Linked DNA regions of Canis lupus familiaris. The protein of the gene in region 1 purifies or fractionates together with the protein of each later gene. This does not show direct contact. Links are inferred from orthologs where the notes say so. Each region holds a gene or a part of one and is shown on either strand. Other genes may lie near its edges. The genes, in order: SART3, PPIH, PRPF3 and TUT1.

Evidence for each region.
Region 2: the proteins of SART3 (region 1) and PPIH purify together in Homo sapiens (affinity purification with mass spectrometry; 3 studies listed by BioGRID and IntAct, with this or other methods). This does not show direct contact. The link is inferred for Canis lupus familiaris from reciprocal best matches to the Homo sapiens genes SART3 and PPIH.
Region 3: the proteins of SART3 (region 1) and PRPF3 purify together in Homo sapiens (affinity purification with mass spectrometry; 5 studies listed by BioGRID and IntAct, counting the BioPlex papers as one, with this or other methods). This does not show direct contact. The link is inferred for Canis lupus familiaris from reciprocal best matches to the Homo sapiens genes SART3 and PRPF3.
Region 4: the proteins of SART3 (region 1) and TUT1 purify together in Homo sapiens (co-immunoprecipitation; 4 studies listed by BioGRID and IntAct, counting the BioPlex papers as one, with this or other methods). This does not show direct contact. The link is inferred for Canis lupus familiaris from reciprocal best matches to the Homo sapiens genes SART3 and TUT1.

What each region holds. Positions count from the first base shown.
Region 1 is NC_049247.1:18,672,836-18,677,897, forward strand, and holds part of SART3 (squamous cell carcinoma antigen recognized by T-cells 3), read left to right. Parts: intron 1-1,507; coding exon 1,508-1,634; intron 1,635-2,984; coding exon 2,985-3,089; intron 3,090-5,062. UniProt on the Homo sapiens protein: U6 snRNP-binding protein that functions as a recycling factor of the splicing machinery. Promotes the initial reassembly of U4 and U6 snRNPs following their ejection from the spliceosome during its maturation.
Region 2 is NC_049236.1:753,713-759,540, reverse strand, and holds the start of PPIH (peptidyl-prolyl cis-trans isomerase H), read left to right. Parts: upstream 1-2,530; 5' UTR 2,531-2,619; coding exon 2,620-2,685; intron 2,686-2,914; coding exon 2,915-2,979; intron 2,980-3,230; coding exon 3,231-3,254; intron 3,255-3,531; coding exon 3,532-3,576; intron 3,577-4,471; coding exon 4,472-4,514; intron 4,515-5,828. Other genes in the region: CCDC30 (coiled-coil domain-containing protein 30), read left to right, coding at 18-141. UniProt on the Homo sapiens protein: PPIase that catalyzes the cis-trans isomerization of proline imidic peptide bonds in oligopeptides and may therefore assist protein folding. Participates in pre-mRNA splicing.
Region 3 is NC_049238.1:60,225,939-60,231,000, reverse strand, and holds part of PRPF3 (U4/U6 small nuclear ribonucleoprotein Prp3), read right to left. Parts: intron 3,963-5,062; coding exon 3,819-3,962; intron 2,910-3,818; coding exon 2,810-2,909; intron 2,638-2,809; coding exon 2,524-2,637; intron 1,435-2,523; coding exon 1,316-1,434; intron 1,035-1,315; coding exon 951-1,034; intron 1-950. UniProt on the Homo sapiens protein: Plays a role in pre-mRNA splicing as component of the U4/U6-U5 tri-snRNP complex that is involved in spliceosome assembly, and as component of the precatalytic spliceosome (spliceosome B complex).
Region 4 is NC_049239.1:54,565,401-54,570,981, forward strand, and holds the start of TUT1 (speckle targeted PIP5K1A-regulated poly(A) polymerase), read left to right. Parts: upstream 1-2,000; 5' UTR 2,001-2,076; coding exon 2,077-2,158; intron 2,159-2,419; exon of another isoform or gene 2,420-2,571; intron 2,572-3,799; coding exon 3,800-3,990; intron 3,991-5,581. UniProt on the Homo sapiens protein: Poly(A) polymerase that creates the 3'-poly(A) tail of specific pre-mRNAs. Localizes to nuclear speckles together with PIP5K1A and mediates polyadenylation of a select set of mRNAs, such as HMOX1.

The DNA.
Region 1 (5,062 bases):
TTATGTGATATTAATATAGTCACTTTGGCTTTTTTTTTTGGACTAATGTTTACATAGTATACCCTTTTTTTTTTTTTAATCTTGCCTGTGTCCTTGAATTTGAAGTGAGTTTCTTGCAACTAGCATATGGTTTTTATCCACTCTGTCGTTCTCTGTCTTTTAGTTAGTATAGATTTATTTATTTTAGAAAATGCGCACGTGCAAGGGGGAGAGGCAGAGGGAGAGGGAGAATGAGAGAAGCAGACTCCCTGGTAAGCACAGAACCCCATGTGGGGCCTGATCCAATGATCCTGAGATCTTGACCTGAGACGAAATCAAGAGTTGGATGCTTAACTCATTGAGCTACCCAGGTGCCCTCTTAGTTTATTGAGACCAGAAACATTTAAGATAAATCCTGCTATGTTAGGTCTAAAGCCTAACATTTTATTATTTTCTATTTCCTCTGTTTCTAAATGTTCTGTTTCTCTTTCTTTGCCTTCCTACGAGTTACTTGAACATTTTTTAGGATTTCATCTTGATTTATTTATAATGAGTTTTGGTGTAGCGCTTTGTATAGTTTCTTAGTGGTTGCCTTGGGTATTAATGGTGTATTTGACTTACATGGTATCTGTGTTCTACCACTGAGTGAAGTGTGGAAACTTAGTTCCATTTAAGTCCCTTTACCATCCCCACTTGTAAATATTATTGTTTTGAGTATCAGATGGTCTTAAAACTTTTGTGTCAGTTACCACATAAAACTTAGAAAACTCATGAGAAGGACCATTCCAGGATACTTGTCTGTATTTGGTGCTCTTTCAGTTCTTCCTTCCTGATGCTACATGATGTCTTTTATCATTCTTTTTTCTTCCTTTCTCTGTCTTTAAGAGAAAGTCTGCTAGTGACAGATTCTTTGTTTTCTGTTGTTTCAGACGTCTGATAGCTTTTTAAACAGTTATTTTAACTTGTTTTAACTTTTAGTTTGAAAAGTTTCAAATCTATAAATCTGTATACCTATCACTCAGCTTCAACAGGTACTGCCATTCTTGTTTCTCCCAGTAGGGATTTTCACTTTTGTGTGTGTTTGTTTAGTAAAAGAAGAAAGCTCTTATAGAGCTGGCAGGTGCTAAAGCATGTTATTAATCACCTTTTGAAACCCTCACAAGAACCTTATGGACTAGACCCTAGTGGTATTCCCATTTTACAGATGAGGAAATAGAGGCTTGGCAAAGTTAATAACCTAAGGTCACACTGTGTGTGTGTTTGTTTCATCGGGATGTTTCCTGTATTTCAAAGAAACCTAACTACGTTCTCCTCCAGCTAGAACAGATTGGAAGAGATATGCATTTATTAGAGAAAAAGAGATTTTCTTTCTCTTCCTGGAGGTAAATGTTGTATCACTGTCTCAGTGGCTCTCCCAGATAGCACATTTGTTTGTTGCAGACATGTGCATTGTTCCCGGTGGTTAAAAGGTGCTAGGTTATTTTGATGGTGGCATTTTAAATTTCACCTGGTGTTCTTTTCCTTTTAGCTATCTATTAACGTCTATGACTACAACTGCCATGTGGATTTGATCCGGCTGCTCCGCCTGGAAGGGGAGCTTACCAAAGTGAGGATGGCTCGCCAGAAGATGAGTGAGATCTTTCCTTTGACTGAAGGTAACATATCAGCAGCGAGGCTGCTTTAATAAACAGAGAACTGAAGAGTATATATTCTGTTTTCAGAGCTGAAACTGGGACGTGTTACTTACAGAAATCTGGAACATATAAATAGAATGCAAAGAAGAAAACCCATCATCCATTGTCCATGATTTCTAGTTTTTCATCCTCTAGTTTTTTTTGCAAAACTTAGTTGTGATCATATAATCTTGATTCATATTTTGGATTCTGTTGTTGTTTTTTTTAATCCTATGTCATGATGAAAACTTTTTATGTGATTAAACTTTTCCCGTGTCTATTTTCCATTCCAGTGTTTATATATTTAATCCATTCTCTCAGCACCACATAATTGTATTATAATTAAACTGTTGTTTTCCTTTTTTTTTTTTTAAGATCTTCAGAGAGAGAGAGAGAGAGAGAGAGAGAGAACAAGCAAGGGGAGCAGCAGGCAGAGGGAGAAGGAGAGGCAGGCTGCCCACTGAGCAGGGAGCCTGACATGGGGCTCGATCCCAGGACCCTGGGATCATGACCAGAGATGAAGGCAGATGGTTAGCTAAGTCACACAGGCACCCCTAGTTAAGGTTTTATAAACAATTTTTAATGCAAATGTTTTATACCTTGTTTGTTACACAGTATTTGGGCATTTAGGTTATTTATACTTACTTGCTTATTTGAAACATAATTACACCATGCATCTTGTAGAAGAGTGTTCAGGAATGTTTATTATAATTGATCTTTTAGGGAGGCTTTGGAGAATGCTGGTCCCAGATCCAGCTCTGTCCCCCTCTCTCTGCCCAAAAGCATAACTGCTGAGTATGAAATCAGATTGCCCAGATTCATTCCTGGTTTTATTATTTTACTAGCTGTATGACCTTAAGCAAATTATGTAAACATTGTAAGACTCAGTTTTCCCAGCAGTAAAATGGGCTAACAATATCTTCTGCCTTATAGTACATGGATTGGATGAGATATCCTATGTACAACATGTAACAAATACTCTAGAATATCGTAAATGCTTTGATAAATGCCATTAGTATTCATTATTATGACTATCATCTACAGGAATTTAACAAAGATTGAATGAGAAATATATATGTGTAAGTATTTCACAAAAATAATAAAATGCCCAACAGGTGTAGGGTATTATGATTTTAGTTGTTTGATCTTATTGGAAGCATAAACCTTCTATGTGCTTGGTACAGGTTTTAAGAATTGAATTTCTGTGAACCGTAGCAAGTTGTATATGGTGGGTAAAATGCTTGTGTGCTCGTGACTCAGAGTAAAGTCCCTGCTTTCATCCTGCCCTTCGGGGAAGGAGATGGTGATGCAGGAGGTGCTGTTGTCTTGCAGAGCTCTGGCTGGAGTGGCTGCATGATGAGATCAGCATGGCTCTGGACGGCCTGGACAGAGAGCACGTGTACGAACTCTTTGAGAAAGCTGTGAAGGATTACATTTGTAAGTTCCCCATTCACTTTTTCTAAGTGTCTGTGAATGCATCCATCTCTGCTGCCCTGGGTTGTACTGTGAGGTGTGCCCCCAATTCAGAAAGGAGGGGGTTAGTCTGGCAGTTAAAAAGATTTGAGTTTACTTATTTTTCTGTGGTTTTCATTTGAGAATATTTGGTTTTAAAATACATAGAAGAAACCTTTGTAGTAAAGGAGTGAATAAATTCACACCTAGTATCTTTCTGGCGGGGAGAACTTACATAGTATTTCCAGATGACTAAAGGTTGCCTTTTACATGTTGAATGGGTTTTTAGAAGTTTTGGACAGAAAACTGTTTTTGTTTTTTGTTTGTTTGTTTGTTTTTTTGATATTAAAAAGTTATTAAAACCTTTTTATTTTAAAATAATTACAGATTTACGGGAAAATAGTGCAGAAAGGTTCTATACTTACTTCATCCTGCTTTTCCCAATATCTTGTAACTATTGCACAAAATCAAAACCAGGGAATTAATCTTAGTGTACAATGTGTGTATCTACCTCTGAGATTTTATCAAACATGGAGATTCTAGTAACCACCACTGTAGTTGAGATACATAACCCTCTATCCCCACAGATGTCTGTGTTGTCTGCTTGAGTTGATGTTTTGCTAGCACAGGTGGAGGGTAGACCCCTCTCCCTTTAAGTTTCTTTACCCTCCCCTGTTGGTAGCATGATTCTCTATTCTCTCTCTCTCTCTCTCTTTTTTTTTTTTTAAGATTTTATTTATTTGTGAGTGACAGAGGAGAGAGAGGCAGAGACATTGAGGGAGAAGCAAGCTACCTGCAAGGATCCTGATGTGGGACTCGATCCTGCATCCTGGGATCACACCCTGGGCCAAAGGCAGATGCTCAGCTGCTGAGCCACCCAGGCGTCCCCGGTTCTTTATTCTCTGTATGTACATTTAGGACACATCAGAGAATGCTGTGGGCAAAATGTTTTTTAAAAATATTTTTTAAAAAGCACTCCTTTTATTTATTTATTTTTTAAAGGTTTTATTTATTTGAGAGGGTGTGCATGCAAGCTGGGGGAGTTGGGAGGGGAAGAGCAGAGGGAGAGGGACAAGTAAACTCCATGCTGAGCACGGAGCCCAATCCTGAGATCATGACCTGAGCTGAAATCAAGAGTCAGATGCCCAACCAACTGAGCCACCCAGGCGCCCCCCCCGCCAATGTTTTCTCCTTTTAAATTAAACATCCTTCTTCCATATCTGGTTCTCCCCACTCCCCACTGGGGGAATTTCACCTTGTGAGAATCCCTGGAACTTGGAAGATAGACTGCCCTGAGGAAGAGAATTTTTCAAATTTACTACCCAAAAGAATTGATCAATTTTTGAGTTTATATAATCCAGATACTGAAAATTACAGGTGTTTTGTGAATGTGAAATTACACCATATGTGCTGTTAGAAGCTATACTTCGTCTCTCCTCTGATCTGCCCGTGTGGCTGCTTAGAACCTCTTGACCGTTCTGAAGGTGATGTTCCCATGTGTTGGGATGATCCAGTCACCTCTTTGTGAAGGTCTCAGAGTCATTAACAGCACCAGTTCTTTTTCTCCAAGGATCTTTTGTTCTTCCACAGACTGTAATGCTTTTCGGTCCTTTTGGTCCTTGATGGTTTGCGGTCACCCTGCCTTCGGACCTCACTTTCAGTGTTGATGTCAGGATGCCTGCCTTTCCCCCAACGGATTCAGGGCTGCCGGTGGTCAGGAAGTCTGATGACTGTACCATTTAGATTAGATCTTTCTCTTTTTTTGTTTTTTTGCTTTTTAAAGATTTTATTTATTCACGAAAGAGAGAGACAGAGAACATAGGCAGAGGGAGAAGCAGGCTCCACGCAAGGAGCCCGATGCGGGACTCTCTCCCGGGACCCCAGGATCACACCCTGGGCCAAAGGCAGACGCTCAACTGCTGAGCCACCCAGATGCCCCATCTTGAAGCAGTTTTGAT
Region 2 (5,828 bases), on another chromosome or scaffold:
CAAATGGCCATTCTTAGTTTTTCAGGAAGAGGTTTGGTACAGTCAGTCAGAAACCTTCAAGAGCTTGAGGAACGTAAGTCAGAAGAAGCAATCGCAAACCTTGAAGTCCCCCAAGTCTCTTTAGGGTTCACAGAATTCTGAAGCTGGATACATAAAAGTGACTATTCTGAAAGAGACACAGTGCATCCAAGAACAAGACCAAAAGTCAGAACCATAAAATCACTGGTGGCTAAAACTAGACTGATCGAAGCTGCTAACTTAAAGCTTGGGTGTGAGGGTGGAACATGACATGGAGAAGAATTACCACAGATCCCCACTGGACATCAACTGAGAGTCTTTGAAATTGCTGATAAATTCATTAAACCAGTTATAAAAATATATTTCTCAAGTGTGTTTGATATCCTCAAGTAACTTTGTATTGATCAATAATAATGACTTAAGTTCAATGGTTTACTTAGTGTTCTGTTCAGCAGAGCACATATATGTCTAATTCAGCACTTTCCCCCTATTATCATGGGTATTAATTATTTTTGAAAAGTAAAAACAACATAATCATATTAAAGCAAATACTTTAAAGAGAAAAATCTCCTCTAATCCGGTATTCTTAACACAACTATTTTCATATATTCCTTTTTGGTTCTTATTCAAATGCATATATTTTTTAAGTGGTTGTTATAGGTTCATTTTCACAGTCTGATTTTTAGCTTAATATACCATAAAACAGGGGATCCCTGGGTGGCTCAGCGGTTTAGTGCCTGCCTTTGGCCCAGGGCGCCATCCTACGGTCCTGGGATCGGGTCCCAAGTCAGGCTGCAGGCATGGAGTCTGCTTCTCCCTCCTCCTGTGTCTCTGCCTCTCTCTCTCTATGTCTATCATGAATAAATAAATAAATAAATAAATAAATAAATAAATAAGATCTTTAAAAAAACATATATATACACCATAAAACATTTTCCTGTGTTTTAGCAGTCTTCATAATTATTCTTTCAGTAGCCACATGATATTCTATCACGTTGATGTTCTATAAATTATCTTGTTTGCATTCAAGTTGTTTCTGCTTTTTCACTATTTGAGATTATGCTGTGGTGAAAGTCTTTGCGAATATAACTCTTCTTTTCTCTCGAGTTACTCCAGAAAAGATTGGCAGTTATGGGCCAGAAGACACAAATGTTACACAGTTTTGGTATATCACTTGTAGTGTTGCTTTAAAAAAAAAAGAAAAAGAAAAACTTGTGTCAACATAATGTTTCTATAGTCAGACTTTTTTTCTTGTCTTTTCTTTTTATTAAGTAGGCTCCACACCCAGCATGGAGCCCAATGTGGGGCTTGAACACACCACCCTAAGATCAAGACCTGAGTTGAGATGCAGTCAGATGTTTAATCGACTGAGCCACTGGTGCCCCTATGGTCAACCTCTCTAAGCCTCAATTTCTTGATCCATAAATGGGAACAGTAGTCATTCCTGTCCCATAGAGTTGTGAGGACCAAAGTAAATGAAATGTGTATTTAGAACTTAGTAGCTGCTTAACAAATGCTAGGCATCATCACTGATTTTCACTAGCACTGGTTTTTCCACAACCTCATCAACATTGGATATTACCAATTAAAAAAAAATTATTTTAGAATAGTTGGTATAAACTATACTGAAGGGTGACTCCTGCTGTTCTTTCTTCCCATCCTGCTCCTCTCCCTCCTACTCTCCTCGGACTCTTTCTTCTCCCTCTTCAGTTGGAGATAGAGAAGGATACCAAGGGGAAAGGAAAAGTAACTAAAAATAAAAAAGACACCATTAAGTTGAGACATTGAGTTTTTACATGTAACCCCTGCTTCCGCAGACAACTGGCCAAAAAGGATGATCAAAGGATATAGGACACAATAGCTATGATATCAGATACAGGCTGTGACTCTAAGCCTTGCCCAAGGTCACCTTTTTTCACTCAATTCATTGAATCTATTTATTGGATCCTCACTATGGGCTACTCAATAGTAGGCACTAGAGCTAAGGATGGGAGGCCAGGAATGATCTATAAACAGGTTCATTTTAAAAGCTCTAGCTGGGGGCAGGTGGCTCAGCGGTTGAGCACCTGCCTTCGGTCCAGGGTGTGACCCTGGAGACCCGGGGTCGAGTCCCACGTGGGGCTCCCTGCATGGAGCCTGCTTCTCCCTCTGCCTGTGTCTCTGCCTCTCTCTTTCTCGTGATTAAATAAGAAAATCTTTAAAAGGGGGAAAAAAACAAAAAGCTCCAGCAGGAATGAACTGTAGGTGACAAGAGGGGCAGCTCGCGAGCAGAACCAGAACTCCGGTTCCGGCTTAACCCGAGCGCTCAGGGTCCAGCACCTAAGACCCACCGCCTCCCGCGCCGCCGCGGCGCACACTGAGCGGAGGGGGAAAGACGCGCCGTGTACGTCGGCTCGGAGGCCTTGGCCCCGCCCACTTCCGCGACGCCCAGTTTCGGCGCCGGAGGCCGGGAGCGCTCCGCAGCGGGGCGGGACTTCCGGGGGGCGGGGCCTGGCCTCGGGTGGCTCTGCCTGCGCCTGCGCCGGCGAGTAGAAGCCCCGGAAATCGGGGCTCGGGTTCGCCGGAACCGGTGCCTGCGGCTACTGCTTCCGGGTCGGAGCCATGGCGGTGGCAAATTCAAGCCCCGTCAATCCCGTGGTGTTCTTTGATGTCAGCATCGGCGGCCAGGTGAGGTTCCAGGCCCGGCCGGGAGGGTCTCCCGCACCCGGGGATAGCGGACTCGGGAAGCCAGAAGGCGAAGCTGGACCGGGACCTACCGACCTGCGGGGCGGGGGGCTCGGGAGGGAGAGGAGTCGTCTCGCGCATCCCAGCGCCCCGCCGGGGGGCGGGGGGGACCGGGCCGCCCCCCCGGATCCCTGCTCGCTGAGGCCTTCTGACCGTGTCCCGCCGCCTGCAGGAGGTCGGCCGCATGAAGATCGAGCTCTTTGCAGACGTTGTGCCGAAGACGGCCGAGAATTTTAGGTAAGGGGATGCTCATCGGAACCGGGAGCCGGACCGGGCCTGCGTGGCGGCCCGCTCCCCGCCCTTGAGATCGGAGCTCCGAATTGTCCCCGTTTTTACCCTTCCCATCTCAGTTCATCGTAATTCTGGGTGTCGAGGCCGGCGGGCCCGCGGGGGGCTCAGGCCGCGCTCCCCTCCCCGCCCCTCTGCGCCAGGAGCGCCCCCCGCTGTGGGGTCACCGAGACTGAAGCATCCCCTCTTTTCCCTTTCAGGCAGTTCTGCACTGGAGAATTCAGGTCAGTCTCTCAGACGTGGTTGACTCGTCTGCTCGCTCCTGAAGGGTGCCCCGGGGCCGCAGTGGGGTTTTGGGGAACCACGCCCGTAGGCCTTGAATGATTGCTGGTGCCGGTAGTAGAAGGTTAATACCCCAAGGGTCTGTCTTCAGTTCATTTGCCTCCTTTATCTCTCTCCTCCCCACCACCTTTAGAGAGTCTCTTGGCTCGAGTGTGTGGGAAGCTGGGAAGACCTGTCATTACTTGTCGTCATTCCAAGTCTCTTTCTTTTTGGTTATAGAAAAGATGGGGTTCCGATAGGATACAAAGGGAGCACCTTCCACAGGTAAGGCTTGGCAAACCATCCTGCAGGATTTTAGAATTACTTTCTAAAAAAGTAATTTCTTACTTTTTTTTTTTTTTAAGATTTTATTTATTTATTCATGAGAGACACAGGCAGAGGGAGAAGCAGGCTCCATGCAGAGAGCCGGACGCGGGACTTGATCCGGGGTCTCCAGGATCACACCCTGGGCCGAAGGCAGGCACGAAACCACTGAGCCACCCGGGCTGCCCTGTAATTTCTTACTTTCTTTAGAAAGTAAGATTCATTTCTTTAAAGGGAACTAAAACCATAGGATAATTCCTAGATCTTGAGAAGGAATGTTTTTTGTGAACTCAACAATAGATTTGAAGGCTTATTAAAAACCAAGGGATCCCTGGGTGGCTCAGCGGTTTAGCACCAGAACTTTGCCAACTGAATTCAGCAGAAATGCCAAGGTATTAACAGTAGGTGCAAGGTTACAATTAACAGTGTTCTCAGCATCCTCTCCCCCCATCCCCAGACCCCCAGGGATGGATTCTGATTAGCTAAAGCCAGTAAGAGCAGAACATTTTTTTTTTTTTTTTTAGAGCAGAACATTCTTTAAAAAGGAGGCAGCCCGCGTGGCTCAGCGGTTTAGCGCCGCCTTCAGCCCAGGGCGTGACCCTGGAGACCCCGGATCGAGTCCCACCTCAGGCTCCCTGCATGGAGCCTGCTTCTCCCTCTGCCTGTGTCTCTGCCCCCCCACCTCTCTCCCTCTGTCTCATGAATAAATAAATAAAGTCTTTAAAAAAAAAACAAAACACCAAAGTTTAAAAAACGTTTTATTTTTAAATCAGTGTTAATCTAAAGTATAATGAGTACGTCAATGTTTTTCTAAATGACAGAACCTTCTCTCAGGATGCTTTATTCTCTGTTTCAGGGTCATAAAAGATTTCATGATCCAGGGTGGGGATTTTGTTAATGTAAGTATTATTTCTTTGCTAATAAAGACCTGTAGGAATATTGGTTTTTATTACTGCTGTTGCTGCTATTTTTTTTGCTACGGAGTCCAGTCCTGAGGCTTGAAACAATAACCAAGTTTGATGAGGAAGAGGGGTGACAGGAATGTCCTTTAGAGTTGCTGGCTTCCACTCTTTATACCATTAGGTGACAGACATCAGCACCCTGATTGAGTCACTGACTTCCAAATCAGCCTTTTAGGGCCAGAAGCTAACTTTCCCAGCATGCCTATAGATGATCCATGAGAGATGCAAACTAGTCAGTCACATGAAACTTGGGTAGAAATCAGATGCAATTGTTTTGTTTTCTAAATGGCAGTAAGTTCTCTTTCAGTGAGCTAAATGCTTATGTCCTATTTGCACATGCCTGGAAAGCTGAGTTTTTCATCAGAAACCGATTTAGTGGGCAAAGAATCAGAGCAACAGAGGTAGATCATTCTGGAAGGATGTTTCCTCTATTTACTAGCGGGGCCCAGTAGAATGGCTCTTCGCTGCGATTAATGGACTTTCTTGTGACTAGACTGTATGTGTCTCTCATACCAAGCCTCTTCGCCCTCCTCTGACTCTGGAAGGTGCTGAATAAACCATATCTCTTCTTAAATCTACTTTTGTTCTTAACCAACCACTTGTGTGCATGTCTGTGGTCTTATTAATATCATTTGGTTAGTCATGTTGCTATTTTCTTGAGTCTTGGGAGATGTCTTTCTCCTTCTTATGTATATTTATTTAGTTAAACTTTGAGGAATTTTTAAAGACTTCCTTCCTGTCTAGGAAAGGTTACAAAGTGGCAGATTTTAGGCTGAACCAGACTTTTAGATACACGTTGTTTCATGTGTGTGATGTTGTAAAACTGGGACATTTCACCAGAAAATTCCAGAGTTTTGTTTTCTCTTTAAAGAATGGAAAACAGGTGTGCACTTGGCCTGTGTTTCTCATGTAGCAGCAATGGTTTAGAATCAAATAACTGTTCCTTTAATCAGGGTCTGTCCTTGCCATTTCACCTCAGTCACTACCACCTGCTTCCCTTACTTATGTCACTTGCCCCTGGAGGGCAAGTTTGCAACCCCTGGCTTCCACTGATGGTAGTAGGGCCTGGGCAACTGTATACTTTGTGGTACCTGGTAAGAAGGGCTAAAAATCTATTCTCTGCCCTTTCTTCCTCTTTTCTTCCTTTTCATCCTTTTTCTCTTTCTTTCTTTCTTTGTTTCTTTCTTTCTCTCTCTCTCTCTTTCTCCTTCCTTCCTTCCTTCCTCCTTTCCTTCCTTCCTTCCTTCCTTC
Region 3 (5,062 bases), on another chromosome or scaffold:
TATTTCCCCCAAATTAGACTGAAAGCTTCAAACTCAACATTTACTGAGCACTACAATATATCAAGAGCTGCATCAGGTACTGGGAATAAGGAGATAAATAAAACACAAGCAATTAACAAGTTTTTATTGTTAATAAAAAGTTGTCCTAAGCACTTTGAGAGAGCAAGGCTTCAGATGCCAACATGACAGCATCCCTTATCAAGGACTTTCTAATCTAATGAAGGACAGATAAACCAAATGAAAATATCTTAGAAACCTTGCAAAGCAAAAGAAAATATAGATCAGTTTAAAACTGTCCTTTAAAAAAAATAAAAAATAAAAAAAAAATAAAACTGTCCTTTAAGTAGGGCACAAAAATAAAGACAAAAAACATAAGAGGGTCTGCAAAGTTAGGTAAAATTAAGAAAAGTAAGGTAAGCACATATTGCTAAAGCAGGGCTTCAAAGAAGGTAAGAATGAATATTGATAGAAGAATAACAGGAGGGTATCAAATATATACATGTATTTTATATTTTTTATTTTATATCTATATAAAGTTGGGCTAAAGAAAAGTGTGTGTGTATATATATATATATCTGTATATATATTTTTTGCCTTTAAAAAACTTTTAAAAACTTCTTTAAAAATAGTATAATATAGACAATGCACATATAAATGCATAGCCTGCTAAATTTCACAAACTAAATATATGCCCATAACCTGTGTAAATATAGGCAGACAGTGAAACCAGCTAATAGAAAGGCCTTAAAGGTCGGGCAGAATAACTAACCCTCACACATATCATCACATAATAAAAACTCTATGAATGTCTACTATGTTCATAGTCCAAACAGGTCTTTCTAAAATTCCTCCACAATATGTAGTGTGATCAAGTTTCAGTGGGAGGGAATAGATGAATGGACAGAGTACCATCCCCACCTCCCACTTAATCCCCTCTAACCCCCATTCACCATCTCCCTTTGTGTTAGATGTCTGTTCATCCCACTTTATCCGATGCAGCATAAGACGCTTAAATTTCTTCTGGGCCTTGGGGCCTGGAAACAGAGAAGGAGAATTTTGCCAGAATGGTGGAAGATGATGAAGTAGAAAGAACCTCTGAGCTCATTTGTTACTCAGACCCTAAGGTGGTAGTTGCAATCTTGGAAACCACATTTTAGGTTCTTCTACTCCAATAAACACAGAAACAGAAACCCAGGACGTTATACCTAGGCGTGGCTCTAAAACACTTATCTTCTCCTCCTTTTCCCCACCATTCTATTCACTTCAAGGCCTAGGGTTGTGTGGGGACAGTCTCCCTCAGTTTTTTCGGACTCACCCCCTTCCACTACTACCACGTTGACATCCTTGTGCAGTACAACCACCCCTGTCAGGTACAGTTGCCCAGCATTGGCCTCAATCTTGAACTTCTTGGCTGGATTGCTCAAATTTCGAACTCTGGAGAAGGGAAAGTTTAATTATGGCTTTTGTTTTAGCATCAGTAGCTGCCTGAATGGAATGGCAAATAAACAGATGTTCCACAATGGTTTTCTCTCTACAAACAACAGCCTCTGGAGTAAGCACGTACACTAACGCTTGAAAGAAAGGCAGAATCAGTAAGTCTTGAAGTAACTCCACTGTCTTATACTTCAAAGACCAGTATTGTACACACACACAACAAATAGCAGGTAATCAAAATTTACTCTAAGAAAGAAGAGGTATTACCACTATCCAAAAGTACTTGCAAGCTAATTGTTCTTGACAGTGTAATGATCAACAAATTCTTTGCCTTCTAGATGCTTATAATGTCAAGTTACCAGAATGCTATGCATGGAAAATTTCTAGAATTTTCTAGAATTACAAAAAATTGTTAGTAGCAATTATCTACAGTAAGCAGTAAGGGATCAGAGAGCAAGAAGGGGACTTTTTTCAGTAAAGGCCTTCTATACTGTTATATTAAAAAAATTCTTAAATATTCATTACTTTGTAATAATGTATCACTTTCATAATAAAGAACTAGTTATTAAACAAGAGCACTTTTAAAAAATGGAAGGTACACACGTACTCAACATAAAAATAAAATGAAGACATTAAATCAACAAGAAGGTAGAAAATATTTACAATGTGCAAAATGTATTTTGTAGTGGGAATAAAAGGATTACTACATTACATGAGAATAAGAATATAGTTACTGAAGAAAGAAACTTTTGATGCTTCCTGAAGAAATAGATTATATTTTATTTCACATAGAGAATGATCCTTAGTTCATATGTTGGTCTCACCAGGTATATTCATTCATTCATTCATTCATTCATTCATTCATTCATTCATTCTTCAGAACTAGTACTGGTTCACTGAGAAGCTCTCAGAGATAGAACAGTAAGTCTTTAACCCTCCCTCATTATAAAAGATTTACTAGCTCCTGATTCATGTTGAGGTCACAGAAGAGAGTAGGGACTGATGTTAGACCACAGTGATTCTGCCTCAAGCACTTGGAAAAGTTTTTGGTATTTCTAAGGCAAAGGCTGGCCCAGTTTGGACACCTACCTATATACAGATATGTGTACCCCCTGTGAAATGTCTTCTTTAAGCTTTTTAATTTTCTTGACCTTTCTCTGTTCTGCTGTAAGTTTTCGGGCAGCGTTGGCCTCTTCATGCGCTCTGTCGTGACAGGAAGGACATCCACAAGTGAGAAAGGCATTGAAGATCAGAGGCAAAGCTGAGGGAAAGAGAGAGCAACAGAGGACTCTCCCCTCCCTCCAAATATGGATCCCCTCAGAAGAGTCTGGGAAAGGTACTTGCCCGGGTTTCCACCCAATCCCATGGCACTTACTTCTGTCTTTTTGCCATCTGAGCTCTGACATGGGCTTCTACCTTCGTGGGGTCTTGAACAGCTTCTGTTCCTAATACTCGCATTAAATTTGAAATTCTCACTGCAAGTGGAGAGAGGATAGAAAACAATGAATTCTCCAGCTGGGATAACTTGTCACCTTTTCTCAATCAATTCAACTATTTACCTATTTCAAATCTCTGCTCCAAGTTTATTTCCTCCAAAAACCCCTACACCTTGAAAAGCCCATCCAATTAACTCAGTATTTGTGGAAGGTCACACAATCTATACAGTTGGTATACATTTATTTACACTGCTTGAAAATTTATGATAGATAAGGAACTTTAATTTCGTTGGTATTTTTCACTCTGATCACAGCATTTTTTTTTTTAATAAAGATTTTTATTTATTTATGAGAGACTCACAGAGAGAGAGGCAGAGACACAGGCAGAGGGAGAAGCAGGCTCCATGCAGGGAGCCAGATGTGGGACTTGATCCCAGGTCTCCAGCCCATTAGAGGATCAGGCAGGCCCTGGGCTGAAGGCAGCGCTAAACCACTGAGCCACCTGGGCTGCCCCTGATCACAGCATTTAATAAAAGATCCTACACATAACAGTGCTCACTCAAATATTACTGAGTGATAATGGAAACTACAGGAGTGAAGGTTTCTTTCAACAGTATTTTCATTTTTCAAATATTAAGAGTTATGTACAAAACACTCTATGCAAACACTGTAACTACTATCTTCATGAATTTCAAGACCATTACTCTTCCAGGAAGATCAGTGTTATATATTTTTACACTTTACAAATAAACCTTAAATGACCTCTACACCGAATATGTTGACCTGTCTTAACAAGATTGTAGAAAATTTAGAATAGGAAGAAAAAAATCAATGAATGATTCAGAGAAAACAAAAAGCACCCAAATACAGAGAGATATAAAAGTTCCTCTAGAAATACAGGGATAAACAAATGTACCACCCTTTCTTCTTTGCCTCCAAGATACGTACCTTTGGGTTCTGGAGGAGGCATCAGGCCCAGCCTGACTTTCTCTTGTAGTTCCTTCTGTGCTTCCCTCCTTGTTTGCCTTCGAAGTTTCTTCTGTTCCTTCTTGGTAAGATACACCCCCAGAGTAACTGGTGTGTCATTGTCAACTGCCAGGTAGAGAAATGAAAGTATAAAAGCAAGAAGCCCATTAGAGGAAGGTAGGTGACAATCAATCACTCACATTAAAAGAAATTTGCTATTTTTAAGTTGGATAATGGTAGTATGTTACATTTTTTAAAAGCATCCTTATCTTTCATAAGTGTTCTAACTTGTTTTTTCTTGAAGCAGGTGAACGCTTTAATCAACTGAAAAGTAGCAAATACAGAAAACAAAATTAGAGCTGCTCTAGTTGCTCTGCATGAGTATTTGGGTTAGGTGGGGCCAAGATGAAATTTATAATTTTGGAGTTACAGGAAAATCCTCTGGACTCCCAAAGCAGTTTATTTAATTTTCTTAAATTTTATTTGTTATTATTATTTTTTAAAAGTTTATTTAAGTAATCTCTACACTCAAAATGGGGCTTGAACTCGCAACCCTGAGATCAAGAGTCTCATGCTCTTTTGATTTGAGGCAGCCAGGTGTGTTCTCAATCTTTTAGTAATATTTTTTAAAGATTTGTTTATTTAGGGATGTGGCTCAGTGGCTCAGTGGTTAAGCTTCTGCCTTCAGCTCAGAGCGTGATCCTCGAGTCCTGGGATCGAGTCCCACATCGGGCTCCCCGTGTGGAGCCTGCTTCTCTCTCTGCCTGTGTCTCTGCCTCTTTCTGTGTCTCACATGAATAAATAAATAAAATCTTAAAAAAAATTGTTAATTTATTTTATAGAGAAAGATCCTGCACACATGCTAGTAGGGGGAGGGGTAGAGGGAGAGAATCTCAAGCAGACTCCCCATTGAGCCTGTAGGGCTCCCCTCAATCTCATGATTCTGAGATCATGACCTGAGGTGAAATCAAGAATTAGACACTCAACTGAGTTGCCCAGGCACCACTCACTTTTTAAAACAAACAAAATCCCCCATGTTCTTCTAATAATTCACAATGATGACAACTAAGTATACTCTGATTAACTAATATTGAATGATTATCATACATTGTAACACCTCAAGGTCTTTTTTTTTTTTTTAGTATTTTTTTAAATTTTTATTTATTTCTGATAGTCACAGAGAGAGAGAGGCAGAGACACAGGCAGAGGGAGCAGCAGGCTCCATG
Region 4 (5,581 bases), on another chromosome or scaffold:
TTGTCCATTTTTTTAACCTCGGATTCTGTAATTGGTTCTTATAGTAACAAATAAAAAGCTGTTTTCTTCAGCTTCTCCTGGCTCAGCTGTTCTCTGCCATGGGTGTGTGTGTGGGTGTGTGTGTGGGGGGAGGACAGTGACTTAAATTGGAAAAATAAAGGACAATGGGTGATAAAGGAGATACAGATGGGGCTTGCCTGGGAACAGCTTTAGGAGCTAGGCAGCCTGTTCCGGCTAGCTTTCTCGTGGGACCCAAACTGCTCCCCAGCTCCCTGTGGTGCTGGAACCCAGGCTCCCTCTTGGCACACAGATTGAGAACGGTTGGAATGGATGGACCCTGGATGGTTGGTGGCTTCCACAGGAAGGGAGGTGGGAAGATGCTTTTTCTTCTATTTTCCAACCCTTAACCTCTCTTTTAGGAAATTCTGGGAGTTGCTAGAGATCAGGGCAAGATGTAGCCTACTTGGGGGGCAGGGTGCTGCACTCTTACCACCCAGCCCTGTGGTATGTTTGCAGATTGCTGCTTCAGGGATTCCCAAGACCAGCCTCAGCACCTGCCTTGATATTGAGGGCACGCTCTAGAGCTGTCTCCCGCCTTTTTGGGTTTGGGAAACAGAAGTCTGAGCAGGGTCCAACAGGAGGAGCACCCTTACAGAGTGAACAAGAATTAAGCCTATTATGAGTTCCTTCCACGCACTTCCTTGAAGATAGGGGACAGCCTCAGCAATCAGCACTTCCTTAAGGTCACAGACCTTGAGCTGTCTGCCTCAGGCCCAGTGTGCTTTCCACAGTCTAGAGCTGCGGACTGATAACCACAGCAGGAGCTGCTCAGACCCTTGAGAGTCCTCTCCAGCTCCCTTCTCGGCCCCTGGGGCCTCCCCAGCGACTTCGCTCTCCCCACTCTGAGCTTCCACCTCGACAGCATCAGGAACTGCCCGCTACACCAGTCTGGGGAGAGGGGGAAAGTAGCATTTTCTCCCTCCAAGGTCTTGGCTCAGTTGCCACCAGCGCAGGTTCTGCCGCATGCCTTGAAGTGGGCCGGTGGCTCCGGCTCCTCATGGCAACACTCCACGCAGTCAACTAATGCAGGAGGGAAACGTGACTCACCGGGACCGCAGCGATCTGGCCGTGGTTGAGCGGAGTCCGCGAGCTGCCCGGTGGGGACAGAGCTCCCCGACCAGGGCGGGGAAATGGTCGCATGACACCCATTGAAGGGAGGACCGAGGGCAGAGGGAGAAGCCGCAGCCCTAGGGAACTCGGGAGTCCGGGGACAGCCTTGAGCTTCGTGAAGTCGGCCCATCCTCCCCCTTTATTCGCCAGGTGAATTGGGTTCGGGGGTGGAGCGCCGCGGTCCCTAGCGCCCCTTGAAGGAGGGTAAACCGCGTACTTCGAAGCACCCAGCAGGCAACCACCAGCCTGCGAGAAGCAGCCCCGGCGCCGGCTTTTGTAGTCGCCCTCATAAATATTCATGAGGCTTTGGGCCAATCACCGCCGGAATGACTCAGAGTTCACCAATCGACTTGCAGCATGCAGATAAGTATCAAAGACTTGGCGGCTGGGACGTCCGGCTGGCTCAGCGGTTTAGCGCCGCCTTCAGCCCAGGGCCTGATCCTACAGACCCGGAATCGAGTCCCACATCGGGCTCCCTGCATGGAGCCTGCTTCTCCCTCTGCCTGTCTCTCTGCCTTGTGCTCTCTCTCTCTCTCTGCGTCTCTCATGAATAAATAAATAAATAAATAAATAAATAAATAAATAAATAAATAAATAAATAAATAAATAAATAAATAAATAAATAATAAATAAATAAATAAATAAATAAATAAATCTTAAAAAAAAAAAACAAAAAAGAAAAGACTTGCGGCTTTCTCCGAAGCTGGTAGAAGAAACAACGCGGAGTGGAAACGGAACCCTGAGTCGAAGGAGCTGTTTCCCAAGCCGGGGAGCGTGTTTGCGCGACTGGTCCGTGCTACGTCACTTCCTATCCGCCTGGCGGAAGTTGCTTCCAAGCGCTCTGCGATTTGTAGGCGTGAGTTCCGGTGGGGGCCGCAGTGGTGGTGTGCGGTCGGGAGAGTCGCGATGGCGGCGGTGGATGCGGATGTCCAGTCGCTGCCTCGTGGGGGCTTCCGCTGTTGCCTCTGCCACGTTACTACAGCCAACCGTAAGCGGTGGTTGTGAGTTTTCGTCTTTGGGTCCTAGCGAGGGTTAGAGGTGGAGGGCATAGTCCTTGGCAGGTCGGTTGGTAGGGCCGCTCGCCTCCGTTTTCGCTCCGCCTAGACCAACGGGCTGCAGAGTGGCGGAAGTCCTGCCGCTTCTCCCTCTCCTTCCCAGCATCCGAAATCTCCACAACGAACGTTTCATTCTTATTCCCTCTTTAACCGTCGCCTGTTGGACGCCACCTTTGTGTCTGGTACTCTTCTAGGCTCTCGGGTGGGGTGAGGGGATTCAGAGGTGGAGACCTGGAGAGCCGTAGGATCACAGAGAAAGTCGCGGTTAACTCAGGGAAGCCCTACAGAGGAGCGACCCAAAGGCAGAGACGGGCGGAGTAGCATGGCGTGCATGACTAGGAAGAAGGTGGGTTTGGCAAAGTAGACAGGGTTCTTGTAGGACAGCACGCAGGACTCCATGAAACCTCAGATTCCACTTTTGAAGTCTGGAGTCGTGATCTTCCCTAAACAGGAGCTTCTATCCTTGTGTGTGTGTGTGTGTGTGTGTGTGTGTGTGTGTCACTATCACCGTTTGCCCCATAGGGCAAGCCAAAAATCCAAGATAGTCTTTTCTGGCCCCACATATTCATCGGTGGCAACAAACAGCTGACCCAGAATTTAACAAAAATAATAATTGCTAACTTTTCCCATGTTCTATATGTGTATGCCCTTGTGGTTAGTTGTATCCATATCTTCGTTTTGTGGCCCACGAAATTGATGCACAGAGAAGTTAAGTGACTGGCCCAAGATCTCACACAGTTTGCCAGAACTGGGATTTATTATTATTATTATTATTATTTCATTTATTTATGATAGTCACACAGAGAGAGAGAGAGAGAGGCAGAGACATAGGCAGAGGGAGAAGCAGGCTCCATGCACCGGGAGCCCGACGTGGGACTCGATCCCGGGTCTCCAGGATCATACCCTGGGCCAAAGGCAGGCGCTAAACCGCTGCGCCACTCAGGGATCCCAGAACTGGGATTTAAACTTGAGCAGTGTGACCTCAGACCATGCACTTGCAATCTCTCTACCATACCTAGAGACCATCCGTGACGTCTAGGGTCCTGCTTTATTTAGTTCTTCTGTAATATGATCTGGATAAGTTTCCTGTTATTTATTTATTTATTTTTAAAAATAATTTTCGGGTGTTGCTTTACCTAGCACTTAGAGAGGGTTTTCTTTTGTTTTGTTTTTTTAAAGATTTTTATTTATTTCTCCATGATAGTCACACAGAGAGAGACAGAGAGAAGCAGGCTCCATGCAGGGAGCCCGACGTGGGATTTGATCCCGGGTCTCCAGGATCGCACCCCCGGGCCAAAGGCAGGCGCCAAACCGCTGCGCCACCCAGGGATCCCAAGGGTTTAAGAAAAATTTGTAGCTAGTTGTCCTGGGAACTACTTAGAGAGAATACCTTATGTGGACAAATGGACAAGAGAGGGAGGTGAAAAGAGGCAGGACTTGGTTTATTCAAAGGCCACCCTTTCTGTAGCTTGGAAGGATTGGTAAGATTTAGGTATGCATTTAGGTAAAGTCAAGGGGTGGGTACATTTGGATAGAGTGATTTGGATACTTTTGTTTCACAATTATCTCTGTAGGACCCAGCCTAGACGCCCACTTGGGAGGCCGGAAACACCGACACCTAGTAGAACTACGAGCTGCCCGAAAAGCCCAGGGACTTCGAAGTGTGTTTGTCAGTGGCTTTCCCCGGGATGTGGATTCTGCTCAGCTTACTCAGTACTTCCAGGCATTTGGACCTGTGGCGAGTGTCGTCATGGACAAGGACAAGGTAGAGTGAATGGCTTTTGGGGTAAAGAATGACTCAGGTGTGCCACGTACAAGAAGAAATGAGAGAGAAACCAGGAGCCCTGTTTCAGCTGGTGCCTTATGTGGCTTGTCCTTGATGGACACCACAGTACTTGGGCTAATTCAGCTTTGTGAGCCTTTGCCATCCCCTGCCCTGCCCCAAACTCCCACCTCCCCGGCTCCTGCTTGGATTTGTCAGTTTGCCAGAGTTAGTCATTGGGGGACTTTGGATCACTAATTTATTGTCTTCGTTTTATTTGCTAAAACTCCACTAAATGTGGAGTCTGCTTAAGATTCTCTCTCTTCCCCCGCTCTCTCAAATAAATAAATCTTTAAAAAAATACAGTCTACACACAGTGCCCAGTACTAAGTCAACAGTTAATATTTGGCAAATAAAACGAAATAAACCTTCTTTATTCCTTTGAAAAAAAGTTCAGTTTTACTGTTGTGTTGTATCATCATATTATAGTTCTCAGATTGTGCTCTGGTTATGTAAGCATGGCTTTGGTGATCGCAAATGGCTTTGGCAGCCCATATCTTCTCTTAGGATGGGCTGGGTGTGTTTTTCTTAGAGATCACATTTGGACAACTGACCCACAGAAGCTTTATTTTTTTTAAATTTTATTATTTATTTATTCATGAGCGACACACAGAGAAAGGCGGAGACACAGGCAGAGGGAAAAGCAGGCTCCTAGCTGGGAGCCCAATGTGGGACTCGATCCCGGGACCAGGATCACGCCCTGAGCCAAAGGCAGATGCTCAACTGCTGAGCCATCTAGGTGTCCCACTACAGAAGTTTTAACACAAGAGGTTTAATTGTTTCCTTTATTTTTTTTAAGAGTTTTTTTTATTAATTCATGAAAGAGAGAGAGAGAGAGAGAGAGGGGCAGACACATAGGCAGAGGGAGAAGCAGGCTCCCTGTGGGGAGCCCGATGTGGGACTCAATCCCAGGACCCCAGGACCCCAGGAACATGGCTTGAGACAAAGGCAGACGCTCAACTGCTGAGCCACCCAGGCATTCCTAATTGTTTTCTTTAACAAGAAGTCCAGACCTGGGCAGTCTGGGACTTGACTTTTCTCCTGCTCTGTCATTATTGGGCATGTGGTTCTCACTTCCTAGTTGTGATAATACTGCTTGCACATCTTCAGGTGAGAAAAAGGGGCAGGCTGAAGGACAGAGTATAAAAGGCTAATGCCAGCTGAGTCTGACTGTTTTCCCCTGCTTTTCTTTACTTTCCAGGAAAAGATCTTTTCCCAGAGCCCACATGTGTGGGGGGGTGGTCTCTTCTGTTTATGTATCCTTGCATCAGTGACACGCTGGCTTACTTAACTATGGTTTTGAAGAAGTTTTGATGCCTATTTCTGATGCCTATTAATATTTTCATTGGTGTTAGATGATAGATTAATTTGGGAAGAATTGGGTCTTTTATACTGAATCTTTCCATAAAAATGCTATGTCTTCATTATTGATATCTTTATTATTTTTTATTGTTTTTTTAGATTTTATTTATTCACGAGAGAGAGAGAGAGAGAGAGAGAGAGGCAGAGACACAGGCAGAGGGAGAAGCAGGCT